4 linked regions of the Macaca mulatta genome follow. The protein of the gene in region 1 interacts with the protein of each later gene in a biochemical or structural test. Links are inferred from orthologs where the notes say so. Each region holds a gene or a part of one and is shown in the gene's direction. Other genes may lie near its edges.

Evidence for each region.
Region 2: the proteins of BCL10 (region 1) and CARD11 form a complex in vitro, tested with the Homo sapiens proteins (2 studies listed by BioGRID, with this or other methods). The link is inferred for Macaca mulatta from reciprocal best matches to the Homo sapiens genes BCL10 and CARD11.
Region 3: the proteins of BCL10 (region 1) and IKBKB form a complex in vitro, tested with the Homo sapiens proteins (2 studies listed by BioGRID, with this or other methods). The link is inferred for Macaca mulatta from reciprocal best matches to the Homo sapiens genes BCL10 and IKBKB.
Region 4: the proteins of BCL10 (region 1) and CARD9 form a complex in vitro, tested with the Homo sapiens proteins (2 studies listed by BioGRID). The link is inferred for Macaca mulatta from reciprocal best matches to the Homo sapiens genes BCL10 and CARD9.

Annotation. Positions count from the first base shown.
Region 1 is NC_133406.1:155,296,063-155,299,404, forward strand, and holds the end of BCL10 (B-cell lymphoma/leukemia 10), read left to right. Parts: intron 1-2,330; coding exon 2,331-2,686; 3' UTR 2,687-2,842; downstream 2,843-3,342. UniProt on the Homo sapiens protein: Plays a key role in both adaptive and innate immune signaling by bridging CARD domain-containing proteins to immune activation.
Region 2 is NC_133408.1:37,050,946-37,055,024, reverse strand, and holds the start of CARD11 (caspase recruitment domain-containing protein 11), read left to right. Parts: upstream 1-1,279; 5' UTR 1,280-1,556; intron 1,557-4,079. UniProt on the Homo sapiens protein: Adapter protein that plays a key role in adaptive immune response by transducing the activation of NF-kappa-B downstream of T-cell receptor (TCR) and B-cell receptor (BCR) engagement.
Region 3 is NC_133413.1:44,370,707-44,374,664, forward strand, and holds the start of IKBKB (inhibitor of nuclear factor kappa-B kinase subunit beta), read left to right. Parts: upstream 1-1,158; 5' UTR 1,159-1,322; coding exon 1,323-1,351; intron 1,352-1,555; coding exon 1,556-1,673; intron 1,674-3,958.
Region 4 is NC_133420.1:6,136,314-6,140,506, forward strand, and holds the start of CARD9 (caspase recruitment domain-containing protein 9), read left to right. Parts: upstream 1-1,393; 5' UTR 1,394-1,466; coding exon 1,467-1,877; intron 1,878-2,389; exon of another isoform or gene 2,390-2,471; intron 2,472-3,043; exon of another isoform or gene 3,044-3,191; coding exon of another isoform or gene 3,192-3,344; coding exon 3,345-3,543; intron 3,544-3,980; coding exon 3,981-4,118; intron 4,119-4,193. UniProt on the Homo sapiens protein: Adapter protein that plays a key role in innate immune response against fungi by forming signaling complexes downstream of C-type lectin receptors.

The DNA of each region.
Region 1 (3,342 bases):
GCAAGACCCTGTCTCAAAAAAGCAAAACAAAAAAAAACAGAAATGATCATTTGGCTTTCAAAGAGTTTAAACTTCAAAATTATATTCAATTTGCATTTATTTTACCTTATATGACCTTACTACATTGAAAAAGTGGAATATCTGTCAATATACTGCATTTCTATTCGTTTAATACCATTTATGGAAAACGTAACTATTATGAAATCCCTGTATACATAAGGATTTGTTTCTAAAGTCAGCAGAATATAAAATTATTCAAGAGTAACCTCTGAAAATACTGTACATCGCACATAAAGAACAGTATTTAGGCAAAGTATTTTAAAAGTCCAACTCTGCTAGTTTTTCTTGTGATCACCAGTTGATCGATCACAAGATGAAATAATTGGCACTTGTTTATAGGAATCACGTTGCATAAAATATTCGTGACTTGAAACTAGTCTGGCAGGATGTGAAAGCATGGAAACATTAAGAGAATAGCAAATTCACCTGTCCCATTTGACTCTCACTCCAGAATATACACTCATTGATTGGAATATTGTGTGGAATTGCCTACACAATTTAAATCCCCAACCCCCTCCTTTCTCTGTTCCTTGCTGTCTCTCTCTCTCTCTCCAGAACACATAAATGTGCATGTGACGTTCTACAGCTGTTCTAGGCATTAGGGATACAGAAAAGAATAATTTAGGGTTCTGCCCTTAAGGAACTCATAGTCTGTAAGTGTCCCCTTGCTGGGACACATTACAAGTTTTCCCTTTTGAGCCATATCTAAGAAAGTAGTTTCTATAGCATGGAATAGACATGCTGACTGTAAGGTTGAAAAACTAGTGGAAGAAGTGACATGTAAGTGTCCTTTATAGACTATGCAGGTTTTACCTAAAAATTGTCAACTCAGGGTTTCTGTGCCTGTAGGTTGAATATTTGCTAAGCCTAACAGAAGGGTAAATTGTATTTGTGTTTATTCTTTCAATCCTGTGGATAATGGTTAACTACACCCCTTGGATGTGATAAAATTCTTTGATGGTATCTAAGTTGTTTTCTGCTGTAGCAATACCTGAGACTGGGTAACTCATAAAGAAAAGAAATGTATTCATTTTTTACAGTTCTGGAGGCTGGTTAAGTCCAAGTCCATGGTGCCAGCATCTGGCAAGGGTCATCCATGGTGGAAGGGCAGAAGATGGAAGAGTGAGGGAGGGCAAGAGTGTGAAAGGGAAGAAAAAGGAGTCGAACTCCCAAAATAAGTAACCCATTCCCATGATAATGGCATTAGTCCAGGGCAGAGCCCTCATGACCCTGTTGCCTCCCAAAGGCCTCAGCTCCTAACACTGCTGCAGTGGCAACCAAGTTTCCAACATGTGAAATTTTGGCAGATACATTCATACCATAGCTGTTGGGAACAACCACTGTCATTTGAGTAAACTATGAGGTTGAGAAACAGGACATTATCTATTGAATTGTAGTTCTCAATTTCCCACAAAGTAGTCCTGGAATGTTGGACATGACTTGACTGTCCTGTGCCTTTTTTTTTTCTATTTTTTTTTTAAAGACCGTCTTGCTCTTGTTGCCCAGGCTGGAGTGCAATGGCACGATCTAGGCTCACTGCAACCTCCACCTCCCAGGTTCAAGCGATTCTCCTGTTTCAGCCTCCAGAGTAGCTGGGATTACAGGCACCTGCCAACACGCCTGGCTAATTTTTGTATTTTTAGTAGAGACGGGGTTTCGCCGTGTTGGCCAGGCTGATCTCGAACTCCTGACCTCATGTTCCGCCCACCTCGGCCTCCCAAAGTGCTGGGATTACAACTGTGAGCCACCATGCTCCGCCCTTTTTTCTCATTTTTAATAATAAGAGACTATCCTAGGTGACCTCTGAAATTCCTTTTAGTTCTAATATCCTATTATTCAAGAACTAGCCATTGCCATTGATCAACAGATAGAATTTTAGCATCTGCCCTGTTTACATTTTGTTTTTATTGGCTAATATTTTTTGTACCAGAATACTAAAGAATATTTATTGTGAAAGCTATTTCTTATTTTATAAAAAATTTTAGATGGTTAAGTTTATATGTACACTGTACCTTAAATAAGAATTATAACATGTCGTTTAACTTCCATGAGACTATTTTCTTATCTAGAAAATGCAAATAATAGTATACTTCATAGTTGTTGAGAAAAGCAAATTAGATTTGAAATAGATTATGACAGAAATTATAAATTGCTATTTAAATTTTGATTGTGGGGTAACTAGCTTGTAATCTTTAACAAGTCACAAGATGGACAGTGACTCCATTTTTTTTAGTTACTTTTTCATTTACATATGAATAATTTTATTGTAGGACTAAAATGTAGCAGCTGTGAACCTTTTCCAGATGGAGCCACGAACAACCTCTCCAGATCAAATTCAAATGAGAGTAATTTCTCTGAAAAACTGAGGGCATCCACTGTCATGTACCATCCAGAAGGAGAATCCAGCACGACGCCCTTTTTTTCCACTAATTCTTCGCTGAATTTGCCTGTTCTAGAAGTAGGCAGAACTGAAAATACCATCTTCTCTTCAACTACACTTCCCAGACCTGGGGACCCAGGGGCTCCTCCTTTGCCGCCAGACCTGCAGTTAGAAGAAGAAGGAACTTGTGGAAACTCTAGTGAGATGTTTCTTCCCTTAAGATCACGTACTGTTTCACGACAATGACACTTTATTGCCTTTTAATTTTTAATGATGACAAAAAATGTTTTAAAAAATATGAATCTTTTTATAAAATGGCTGTAATGATTTGTTTACATTTGATACATGTCTTTTAAAATGCGATGTAAGCATACTTTGTAAATAGGATTTTTAGAATTAAAAAAGCATGCTTTTAAGATAGCTAATTGTAAATCATGTTGATCATGTACTTTTTAGTAATTTCTTTTTTTCCTTTTTAAGGTCTTTCACTATTTTTTAAAATATTTTCTATTTTAAGACTGATTTTAATAGGGAATATATCTCTATTTGAGAATAGACTCTTACTGGGAAGAACATTTTTTCCTCAGTGCATTTGTGCTTGAAATTTTCAGTCTAATAGTCTTTGCCAGTCATTCAGCAGCAAATTTTCAGCATTAAGCTGTTCCTGTTCAGTAATAAAACCAATCACTGATGGGAAAACTGCCAATATAGAAAAATAAAAATAAAAAATCTCTTTTCCACTCCATTGTCTTATAGGCACTTAAACAGCCTTTTTTTTGAGACCGGAGGAACACTTGATGGAGTATGAGCCACCTCAGATCTCAGTTTGCCAACATTCATTTCTAATTAACATTACTAATTATACTACTTTGTTAGGATTTTCACATTCTTGGTTTAATCAT
Region 2 (4,079 bases), on another chromosome or scaffold:
ATGTCCATGATCCCACTCTGCCTGCCTTTGCCTACCCATAGCTTAGCTCTCGCTTTTAAGTAAGAACATGGAGTATTTGGTTTTCCACTCCTGAGTTACTTCACTTTAGATAATGGCCTCCAGTTCCATCCAAGTGCAAGTTACTGCAAAAGACTTTATTTCGTTCTTTTTCATGGCTGAGTAGTATTCCATGGTGTGTGTATGTGTGTGTGTGTGTGTGTGTGTGTGTGTGTGTGTGTGTGTGTGTGTGTGTGTTTGTGTGTATCACATTTTCTTTCATCCAGATTTTTGAGTCCACAATCCCTGTAAACCCTTGGGACCATCCCACCCACGACGCTGGCCATTTGGGGTAAATTATCAAAATGCTGACATCCAGCCGGACACGGTGGCTCACACCTGTAGTCCCAGCACTTTGGGAGGCTGAGGTGGGCAGATCACTTGAGGTCAGGAGTTCGAGGCCAGCCAGGCCATCATGTTGAAACCCCATTTCTACTAAAAATACAAACATTAGATAGGTTTGGTGGCGCACGCCTGTAGTCCCAGCTACTTGGGAGGCTGAGGTGGGAGAATTGCTTGAACCCAGGAGGTGGAGCTTGCAGTGAGCTGAGATCGCACCACTGCATTCCAGCCTGGGTGACACAGCAAGACTCCGTCTCAAAAAATAAAAATAAAGTAAAATGATGACATCCAAATCACAATTTCTCTCACAAGCATAGTTCACCAGAACGTTGAGGGTGCAAGCTGATGATGGATATCTTGGACCCCAAAGCTTTTGGGGTGAGGAAGGCCTTTGCAGGGGTGCTGACCAGCCAGCATGCCCAGGAAGCTTCCAGAACAGGGGCTGAGGGAGGAAAGAGGCTTGGGGTGTAGGAGGCTGCAGAATTTTATGTGGGACACCCCGTTCTCCCGCGCACACACACATTGCAGTGACAGGCTCTGGAATTTCTTGAGAAATTCGGCTAGACCTGGGGAGCCAAAGGCCTGAAGAACCTAGAAAGGGGATAGCCCCTTCCAAGGCCCCACCTGGACTCTGCCTGGGGTCACAGCTGGGTGGGGACTGACAACCAGGCTGGTCCAGCCTCACCCCGACTGATGCAGGTGGCCTGGACCCCGAGACTCGCCTTGGTCTCCCCATCCCCGGCTCCCTGATCTGTCCCCAAGCACCCCCACCCCAGGCCCTGTCCCCACTCCCACCCCCACCTCCTTACCGCCCTCCTCCCGAAGCACCGACTCCGCCCCCTCCCTCTCTTCCTTATCTTTTTCTAACCTTTCGCATTTTTTAGTCTCATTTCCTGTCGGGTTTTGCATTTCCCTCCCCCGCCCCTCCTAGCCTATGACATACTTTCTCTCCTTTTTTCTCTCCTGCCTCCTCTGGCCTTCGGACTCCTGCCCGCGCCGCCCGCAGCCCCCTCCTGGCCCTGCAGCCCCTGGGCGGGCAGCGCCCCTCGGAGGACGGGTCCGGGCCCGCGGGGACGGAGGGCCCGGTCGCCTGGAGGAAGCCGGAGGCCTGCGTGGAGGAGGCGCCCCGCGCAGCTGGCGGAGCATGAGCGCCCCAGGTAGGCGCAGCCGGGATGGGGGAGCTGGTGGAGGGGGAGCACGAGGCGGGGAGCTGGGGAAAGAGAGGAGGACATGGGGAGGAGATGGGGGGCATTAGTGAGATGACATGGTAGTGGGGCGTGGGGGGGATGGGAGTGGCTCCTGCTGGCCCCGCGATGATGGGGGTATCCTTCCATCTCTGTCCCCCTGCCCCACTTCTCTCTCTCACTCTTATCTCCTCCTTTTCCCTTCCAACCCTTTTTCTCCCTCACTTTCCACCTCGTGTACCTCTCCTCCGTGTCTCTCTGAGCCTCTCTGAGTATCTCTGCCCAGCAAAACCCCCACCTCCTCCTACTGGACAGGAAAAAATCGGGGGTCAGGAGGCTGCAGCCCCTTGGTGCACCTGCCCAGAGGGAGGAAGAGAAACTTTTCTGACACCTGAAGGGCCCGGAAGTTTGCAGACCACAGCCCAGCCTGACTCAGAGGCTCCTGGGAAGGTGGGGCCTGGCTCAGGGAGGAAGGGCAGCCCCACCAAAAGAGGGTATGGAGCTGGGAGATGGGAGAGGACAGCCTCCCGCAGGGACTCTGCTAGAAAGGGAGTGGTGGGGGCACAGGAGGGGGCCCAGGTTCCCCACTGAAACCCGGACCAGTCCCCAGCGGCCTCAGGCCTGAAAGCCACCCACCCCCAGGAGGCCGCTCCAGGCCCGATGGGGCCACCAGGCCTTCTGCTGAGCCCCCTCTGAAGATAGGGGCAGAGAGGGTGTTTCTGTCCCTCGGGGGCTCTGAGCACCGCTGGAGGCTGTCACAGGGACCCAGGTTCATGGACAGTGGTCTCAGCTGTGAGCTTCAGGGCTGCCCACACAAACTCCGTCTTGGACCAAACTGACCTCTGTCTGTCCCGCCTGCTCTCAAAGCCTTTGATTTGTAGTTCAAAAATGTTTCTCCTGACGTTTATGACTCGTCTTGAAGGTATAAGGTTACCAACCTGCCAGAAAGGGGAGAGAAACAGTCGATCGTTCATTCCACGTTTATTAAGTGCTCAGCATGTGCATAATATGTGCCAGAAATCCCAGGAGCCAGGAATTAATATGAGGACAGGAATTTCTCCGTCAGTGTACGTTTTTGTGCTTAATATGAGGACAGGAATCCATTAAGTGTCCATTTCTGTGCTTTCGCGGAACCTCCCGTTCTTTCCCCAGCGAGGCATCTGTAAAGAGATGATACTCCTGCCTCCGGCCGGGGCTGCCCTGAGGACAGTAACAGTGACCGGGACTCTGAAGCATAGCCAAGGCCAGGGACTGCTTGGACCCGTGTAGATGTTACTTGCCTGGGTATCAGATAGGCAGGCCGTGGCTCCCCTGGCCCCAGCAGTCTTCAGTTAATGCATGAATGGTCCTTGATGTGATTTTTTTAAAAATCGTGGTGAAATACACATGACATAAAAGTAGCTCACTGAACCGCTTTGAAGCGCACAGTGGACTGGCGTTAAGCCCATTTGCATTGTCTTGCAGTGGTCACCACCGTCCAGCTCTTCCCAAACTGAAACTGTGTCCCCCATTAAAGAACATCTTCCTGGCTCCCTCCTCAGTCCCTGGCAGTCACACTTCTCCATTCTGTCTCTAGAAATCTGATGATTTTCCGGACCCCGTATAAGGGGGCTCATACAACCTGTGTCCTTCCCGTGCCTGGCTTATTTCTCTGAGCCTCATGTCCTCAAGGTTCGTCTGTGTTGTCACCTGTGACCGAATCTCCTTCCTTTTTCAGGATGAATAATATTCTGTCGTGTAGATAGACCATATTTCGTATATCTGCTCATCCTTTATGTGATTTTTAAAAATGACTTCTGGCCGGGCGCAGTGGCTCACGCCTGTAATCCCAGCACTTTGGGAGGCCAAGGCGGGTGGATCACCTGAGGTCAGGAGTTCGAGACCAGCCTGGCCAAAGTGGTGAAACACGATCTCTACTAAAAATACACACAAAAAATTAGCCTGACGTGGTGGTGCATGCCTGTAGTCCCAGCTACTTAGGTGGCTGAGGCAGGAGAATCGCTTTGAACTGGGGAGGCGGAGGTTGCAGAGAGCTGAGATCGCACCACTGCACTCCAGCCTGGGCGACAGAGCAAGACGCTGTCTCAAAAAAAAGACTTCTAAACCTAAGTCTTCTAAAGATGACGACGCTTGTTTGAATCCATCAGTGGGTGTGTGTGGGTGGCTTTGTACTTGGTGGCACAGGGGACGCAGGAGGGATGTGAGAAGCAGTGCTCCAACCTGAGTAGGTTCATCACACAGTCTGTGTATGCCGTGGTCAGAGTGTGGCTGAGACGCACATGAGATGGAAAAGAATTAGGAGGAGTGGGGAGGGAAGCAGGGAGTGAACTTGGGAGATGGTAGGACTCAGAAGGTCCAGGGATCCCTGGAAGGTTCCAGGCTGAGATGGTGCTGAAAATCTCAGGGAGGAAGGGCAATCCCCCCGAAAGGGGGTGCAGAGTTGGGAGATGGGACAGGACAGCCCCCTGTGGACACTGTACTAGGAAAGGGGTGGCA
Region 3 (3,958 bases), on another chromosome or scaffold:
GCTATGTGGCTGTCGATCGGTGTGTACATGTGACCTCGGAGCACCAGGAGGTGATTGCAGGTGACACCTGAGGACTGGAGATCCCTCCCATGCAGCAGACAGGGTGGGATTTGGCCTGCAGCTCGCTCTGCTGGTCCCCACTGTGCTGTTTCTGTAGGAAACAGGTGAGCAGATTGCCATCAAGCAGTGCCGGCAGGAGCTCAGCCCCCGGAATCGAGAGCGGTGGTGCCTGGAGATCCAGATCATGAGAAGGTGAGGGCCTTGTGCACCCCAAGGGAAAGCTGGAGCAGCAGCCCCCCGTGTGTCTAGAAAGGAGAGTCTTGCTGGGCACGGTGGCTCACGCCTGTAATCCCAGCACTTTGGGAGGCTGAGGCAGGTGGATCACGAGGTAAGGAGATTGAGACCATCCTGGCTAACACAATGAAACCCCATCTCTACTAAAAATACCAAAAATTAGCCAGGCTTGGTAGTGGGTGCCTGTAGTCTCAGCTACTTGGGTGGCTGAGGCAGGAGAATGATGTGAACCCGGGAGGCGGAGCTTGCAGTGAGCCAGGATCGCGCCACTGCACCCCAGCCTGGGCGACAGAGCGAGACTCCGTCTAATTTAAAAAAAAAAAAAAAAAGAAGAGGAGAGTCTTAAATCTCTGCCCCTCCATCAGGGCGCCAGCCCGACAGTCTCCACGGTGACTCTGCTGCTTCTAAAGATGCCAGAGGAAGAGCAGCTAAAGTCCACACTGGGCCTTGTCGGGGACTTTTCATCAGTTTCATTATATTAAATAAGTTAACACAGTTATCACAGTGACTTTTCCTTTGTCAGCAAAAAAAAAGCCTTCTTTCCTCCTGTATTTCCAGTTCCAAGGTGGTACATGACCGTTCTCTGCTGTCATGCTGCCGCTGACATTTATTCCTCTAGTGTGGAGACTGGGCCGTCCATCTGCCCGGTGGCTGCTGACCCCCTAGCTAGTGAGGTGGGCTCCGAAAGAGCCAGCGAGGAGGACACCAAGCAGGGGCTCCTCTGCCAGCCTCTTAAAAAGAGGAAGTGCCATTTGGTTACATCATGGTTCTATCTGGTTACACATGAGTTCCTTCTCAGATCCCTCTCTGTGTGTCCACCTTGGGGTGATGTGTGTGGGTGAATCAACCTGCCGAAAAATAAACAGAGAAAAGAAAAAAAATACGAGAACAAAAAGAGCAGGCACCACCTTGTTTGCCTGCTTGCATGTGTGACACATCCCCCCCATGTGGAGGGCATGAGATTGGAAGGTCTTCAAAGGAGCAGTTTGGCAGCACGATGAGGACTTGGGATGTAGCACGCACAGAAAATGGAAGTTACACGGAGTGTGCCCTCAGGGTCTGAGTTCTGGTGCTGCGGGTGGGGCTGGGTGCACGCCACTGACCGGGGCATTGCAGTTGGCCACCCGTACTGGGCTCTGTCTTCCTCTGTTTCGAAGCCCTGGGTTATCCTGGGCCTTTGTTGCTGAGACCTGATGGGGGTGATAGGGATGGGTCTGGGCAGGAGTCTGGCTCTGCTCTCATCGGTTTTCCTCCTTCCTAGGCTGACGCACCCCAATGTGGTGGCAGCCCGAGATGTCCCTGAGGGGATGCAGAACTTGGCGCCCAATGACTTGCCCCTGCTGGCCATGGAGTATTGCCAAGGAGGAGATCTCCGGAAGGTGAGGCTCCCGCGGCTGCCAGGCATACAGCCTGTCTGGGCAGGTGGGACACCAGGAAGGGGGATGGGAAGACCTTTCACTTCTGTCATCATCAGGAAGCTTGGGGACCCCCAGCAACTCCAGCAGGGCTGCTTTGCCTCTCAGATCCTCTGTTCCCTGCCCACCTGGGGCTGGTGTGTGTGTAAGTCAGAGGCACTTCCGAGAACACCAGGGAAGGGGGAAGGGCGTGCTGCACACTCTGCTGGGATTATTCCAATGACAAGGAAAACTCATCACAGGTTTGGGCGTGGGGAAGGACTGGGCAAGTTCCAAAACAAATGCTTCCTCCCTGGGCGTGTTAGGGCCACGTTAGGCCTTTGGTGCCAGCGCCACTGCTCTCCTTATTAGGAGGGATCTTATTCCAGAGATGGGACAGCACCACACATGGGGGCAGGGAGCATAGAAGAGAGGGAGTGGGATTCATGATCAGAGAGCTGGGCCAGGGCTGCAGACCTGCCCCAACCCATCCGACCCACCCAACCCACCTGACCCACCTGGACTCATCTGTGGGGCTCTGCTCTCCACCTTCTCACCACACCACCTCCTGTTCCCTAGAGTGTTCACTTCTGGTGGGTGGATGGCAGCCCCTTCTGGTCTCAGGGGCAGTTGGGTGCCCTCCTCCCCGTTGTTCCCTATGATAGTACCACATAGCCTGCTAGTACATGTTACCTCATTCGATTTCCAACAGCTCACACATGAGTGCACAGGTATGGTTCCCACATCACGGGTGGATATCACAGCCCAGAGAGGTTGGGCCTCACACAGCTGTAGCAACAGAGACTGGGTCCCAGTCCACACAGACCTAGCCGCAGGCCACCTCTCCATCTCTAAGACTGAATAAGGCCATATAACATGATAACTGGAAGCTCTGAACAAAATATATTTTTTTTTTGAGACAGAGTCTCGCTCTATTGCCCAGGCTGGAGTGCAGTGGCGTGATCTCGACTCACTGCAGCCTCCGCCTCCTGGGTCCAAGCGATTCTCCTGCCTCAGCCTCCCGAGTAGCTGGGATTATAGGTGCCCGCCCCCATGCCCAGCTAACTTTTGTATTTTTGGTAGAGGCAGGGTTTCGCCATACCAGCCAGGCTGGTCTCGAACTCCTGACCTCAAATGATCACCCACCTCAGCCTCCCAAAGTGCTGGGATTACAGGTGTGAGCCACTGCGCCCAGCCAAAAAAATTTTTATTTTAATTGAAAACGAGGTCGGTTACTCTGCGAGTGCACCTCTTTACTTTGGAAGGGTCACAATAGTGAGGGTGGGAGCCCAGGCGTTTATTCCCTTTCAGTGGCTATTCCCAGACACACTTCAGGTGCTACTCTTACTGTTCCTCCAGGCCCTTGTGCCTCTTAAAAAAAAAACAAAAGCTTTCCACTTTGGGAAGCTGAGACAGGAGGATAGCTTGAGGCCAGGAGTTTGAGACCAGCCTGGGCAACATACCAAGGCCCTATCTCCTCAAAAAATAAAAAACGAAAAATTAGCCAGGTGTGGTAGTGTGCGCTTGTAGTCCCCACTATTTCGGAGGCTGGACTGGGAGGATGGCTTGAGCCTGGGAGGTTGAGGCTACAGGGAGCTATGATTGCGCCACTGCATGCCAGCCTAGGCGACAGAGCAAGACTCAGTCTCATGAAAAAAGATAATCCTGTCTCAGAAGAAATAGACAGATAAATAAAATAAAAGGAAACTTGCCGTGGGCTTGGCCTGCCAGAGTGGCTCTCCCTGGAGATAGGCATGTCCTGGGAGTGGCACTCACAGCAGGATATGAACACAGCCCTTGGCATGACCCACAGTGAGAGATGGGGGAACTTGACAGCACTTTGATTTTTTCCTTATTTTTCTAACCTTTGACAGTCACCCATTACTGACTGCAGCTGTGTAGAGATAAAGCCATGTTGTAGTCAAGTGGAGACTTCCCAGAGGGCAGCCTGGAAGTAGGTGGGATGTGGCCAGATTACAGAGGGCTCTGAAGTGAGGCAGAGGCTTTTAGACTTGGTCTTTTAGGTGGCAAAGAGCCAATGAGCCAGAGAAGAAGAGATGGAAAGTTTAACATGACTGACCTGGCGTGGGTTGCAGGATGATTGAGGGGGAGGCAGGAAGGACTCGCATCCTAAGGAACCCCTATCCTTGCTGTCACCCAGTGGGGTTAGGGGAGGACACTGTTGCCCACTGTCTTGTTGTCTGTTGTTTCCTTTGTTCCCTCTAAAAAGTTCAAATCTATAATACATCCGTGGGCAAGGAGAGGCAGGC
Region 4 (4,193 bases), on another chromosome or scaffold:
TGCTGGGGGCCCAGCACTGGGGTCCTCGAGGCCTCCTGTACCCTGGCTGCCCTCCCAGCAGAGAAGCAGGCTTTCGCCCATTTCATGGAAAGCACCTGTGGCTTTGTTCTTCATGCTGAGCCGGCACCCTCCCCAGATGGCTGCCAGCCCTCGCACCGCCCCAGCTGACCCAGGGGGTTCCCTGGAACAGGTGACCTGGCTACCCAGACACGATGGCAGCCCCCACAACTTTCACTGTCCTTTTGCGTGGGCCTTTCTTGGCATAAGACCAGCCCCCATCTTCTCCGTCTGTCCCCTCACTCCCTTTCCTTCGTCTCTGTGGCAGCAGCGCCCCCAGGCCCTTTGCTCTCTGGGTTTCACTCCCTCACTGGAAGCACCGTGGGGCCTCAGCCCTCGGCACCCGGCAGACAGGACGGTCCCATGGCCGGCCGCGCTCCTGAGCATGTGTTGCTGTGCCTGGTTCTCTAGCAACTGGTGCCTAGTCTCCTGGTGGCCACTCTGACCTGTGGGTTATTTAGTGGTATATTATTTAATTTCCAAATATTTAGGGATTTTCCAGATACCTGTTACTGATTTTTAGCTTCCGACATGGTTAGAGAACATGGTATGTGTGTTAATTCCTAAGGACGGACACCACAGGGAAATCACTGGGGTCCCTCGTTTTACAAGCTGGGGAATCACTGGGTCATGAGGGCCTGGTGCCAGCTCGGGCCCACTCCCCAGCAGGGCCCAGGACGGCGTTCCTGCCTGCACACTCGCTCATGCTGCTGGTGAGGGGCCCAGCCTGGAGTGTGGCATTCCCAAGAGCCCCAGAGGACCCCTAACTCCACTCCTCACTGCGTGATGTCAGGCCTGAGGGCCGGGGGCTGGGAACGGTTAGGCGAGCTCCGCACCAGCTTCCTGGCCTTCCAGCCTGGCAGCCCCCTTCTCGAAGCTGTTGGGTGGCAACTCGGTTCGACCAGCTTTACCGGTGAGGCGGGGCCTGGGGGCTCCCCAGCCTGCAGGGATGAGGCTCCAGCAGCCCCACGCTGAAGTGCATAGTTCAGGGCAGACCCTGCTGCCCGTTGTCTGTGGATGGGGGGCGGGCTGTGCCCTGCCATCACCGGTGCTTCTGAAGCTGGTTTGGGGGACCCTGGGAGTGGCCTCAGTCCTCACGTGCATCCTGGAGAAGAGCAAGGATGCCTCGTGACAAGGATAATGATACCGAGCGACACTTCTGAAAGGGACGCTTCTCCCCCGTGTGCAGCTGGGTGGTGGCCGGTGCCATGGCCCCTGGCAGGCTGCAGTGGCCTCCTGGGCTCCATAAGGTGGGCTGCAGCCCTTTCATGACCAAGGCGTGTGCTGGGCATGCTGTGTGGCTGTGTGCCCCCTGCACATGCCCTGCCCCGCTGTCCTGAGATGCCGGCGAGGGCAAGGGTGTCCGCACAGGGCAGAGCATGCCCTCCTGAAGAAGCCTCCAGAAACCTATGACCAGGTCAAAGCGGCTGGGTGCGGTCTGGCCTCGTCCAGCCTCCTGGGGGTCTCTGCTGTCTCTTCTACTTGCCAGGTGCCCGGGCTGGGCCTCTGGGGCATTCTCAGGACCCCTGGCCCCCGGCCAGGCTGGGAGGGCTGAGAGCAGTTTTCCTGTGGAGGGCAGAGGACTTCCACTTCCGTCTGCCTCTCGGGGCCTCCTGGGCTGCACGAATCAGAAGGCAGGCCACCAGGGACTGTCCCCCTGTGGGAGGACTGGCGGGACTGTGGAGTTAAGCCATCAGGAAGTGCACAGGCGTCCGGCACGCTCCTCCCTCCCTGCAGCCCCAGGCAGCATCTCCCCGAGGCTCCGCGTCCCAGGCTCCTGGTGCGTCTGCCGTGCAGGTGGCTCCTTGGAAGACCCTCAGGTGGGTGGGTCTGGTACTTTTCTGAAAAGTGACCAAGAAGGTCGGCGCCGGCTTCGTTCAGAATCCTGGCGCTGATCCCCGCAGAGCAGCATGAGGCTTCCCACAGGCAGCCAGGCAGCCTCCGCCGCGCTGCCCCATCCCTTTCATGGCCACTGGGCGGAGACATGTTCATTTCAGTGGCATTACGGTGGCAGGTGGGACCCTGCATTTCAGGCTGGGGAGGCAGGAAAGGGGCCCAGTGTTCCCAGGACTGTCCGCTGTGTGGCCGGTGTTTCTATTCAGCCCCTTGTCTGTCAAAACTGTCCTGAATGGGGTGACAAAGTACAGTGGGAAGTTGAGAAATTCTTCAAAAGACCAAGACCAAACACTTCAAAAGACCAAGTGTCTCCAGGAGTAGTGACCCAGCTCCTTTAGGCAGGAAACCAGCATTTCCCAGTGGGGCTGGAGGCTGAGGACCGGGGACCTGCGTGGGAGGCAGGACCATGTGGCTGTTCCCAGCCTTGCCCCAGTCCCAGAGGGAGTGGCTTTCAGCGGCTGAGGCTTCCACCGTGCTGGCAGAAAGGGACAGCAGTGGCTGGGCTGGTCCCAACATGGGTAGTTCTCTTGTTTCAGCCAGTGGGATGGGGGTCGGGCCTCATCGGGGGCAGGAGAAGAGTCCAGAGATTGACGGGTGCCCGTCACCTAAGAACCTGGAGAAAACAGCACAGCAGCACTCCTGGCCAGCCAAGGGCAACACCGACAGCCCCTCCCAGCTTGCGGGGCCGGCGGGGAGTGACAGAGGCACGCTCCTGTGGGCAGCTCTTCCCGGCCAGTGCAGCGACCCTGGCAGCTGGGGCAGGGCTGGGTGGCCACTCTTGCATCATCAACAGCCGGCCATGGAGGAGGGAGGGCACAGCGCGGGATGTGAGCAGGCGTCGGTCAGGGAAATGGGGAAGTTCCGCCAGAACCGGCTCCCCCAGCTGCTGCCCTAGTGGGAGGGTCATTGGCCAACCTGCTCTCACCCAGCTTGGGCTGGCCGTAGTGCCAGGCAGGTGCCCACAGCTCCTCCACCCATGGAGGTGGCTGCCCCTGTAGGCTCCAGGGCGTGGTGGGAGTGTCCAGGAGGCGGAGGCCAGAGGCGAGTCATGCCGTGGAGGCAGTTCCTCTCTCAGACCCCATCTGTGTCTCCCCCGCTGCATATCTGGGTGACACGGATGGCCAAGGGGCAGGAGCAGGGGCTGGGAAAGGCTGTGGAGGGGCCCTCGGCTGGTCTGGCGGGGAGCGGGTCACTGTGTCTCTGCCGCCTCCCTGGGGGATCCAGCATGGGGATGGGACATGGAGCTGGGTACCTCTCCTGGATGCCCCTGGGCTGACCCCCTCGACAGCCCTGACGAGAGCCCTGGCCCAGCGTCTGAGAAGGAGCGGGAGCCGGGCCTGGGTGGGGGCAGGAGCCGGCGTCACTCTCAGCGGCTGCCCCACACCCCCCAGCCTGCCTGCGAGGCCATGTCGGACTACGAGAACGATGATGAGTGCTGGAGCGTCCTGGAGGGCTTCCGGGTGATGCTCACGTCGGTCATCGACCCCTCGCGCATCACGCCCTACCTGCGGCAGTGCAAGGTCCTGAACCCCGACGATGAGGAGCAGGTGCTCAGTGACCCCAACTTGGTCATCCGCAAACGGAAAGTGGGTCAGTGCTGCCCCGCAGGCCCCAGGTCCCAAACCCAACCAAGGAGCCCGCTTGGAGGTGGCTGCACGCTCTGCCACCCTGACCCTCGACCCCAGGAGAGCCCCGCCTGGCTTTGCCCCTGGCCTCCCAGTGAGGCCCAACCTCAACCCTGGCACATGGCCACCCTATCCCCCAGCCTCTCCTGCCAGCTCGGTGCTGCCAAGAGGGGCAGTGGGACTCCCACCACAGCGGGGGCTCCTGAGACAGCCAAGGGATGGGTGGACAGCACTTTGTCCCCAGCCTAGTACCAAGACCCACAGGGTGCCTCATCCACGACCCAAACCACAGCACACCTCATCTGCATCCCAGCCTCCACCTGTCCCTGCCCCCGGGCCCACCCACCCCAGCCCTCTGCCTCGCCTGTGCCCCGCCCCCAGTTAGGCCCCTCTGGCCCGCAGGCGTGCTCTTGGACATCCTGCAGCGGACCGGCCACAAGGGCTACGTGGCCTTCCTCGAGAGCCTGGAACTCTATTACCCACAGCTGTACAAGAAGGTCACGGGCAAGGAGCCGGCCCGTGTCTTCTCCATGATCATCGGTGAGTGACGGGGAAGGCGGTGGTGGGGGCGGGCAGTGGTGCTGGGTCCTCTGCCCAGCCCCCATCCCTAGGAGC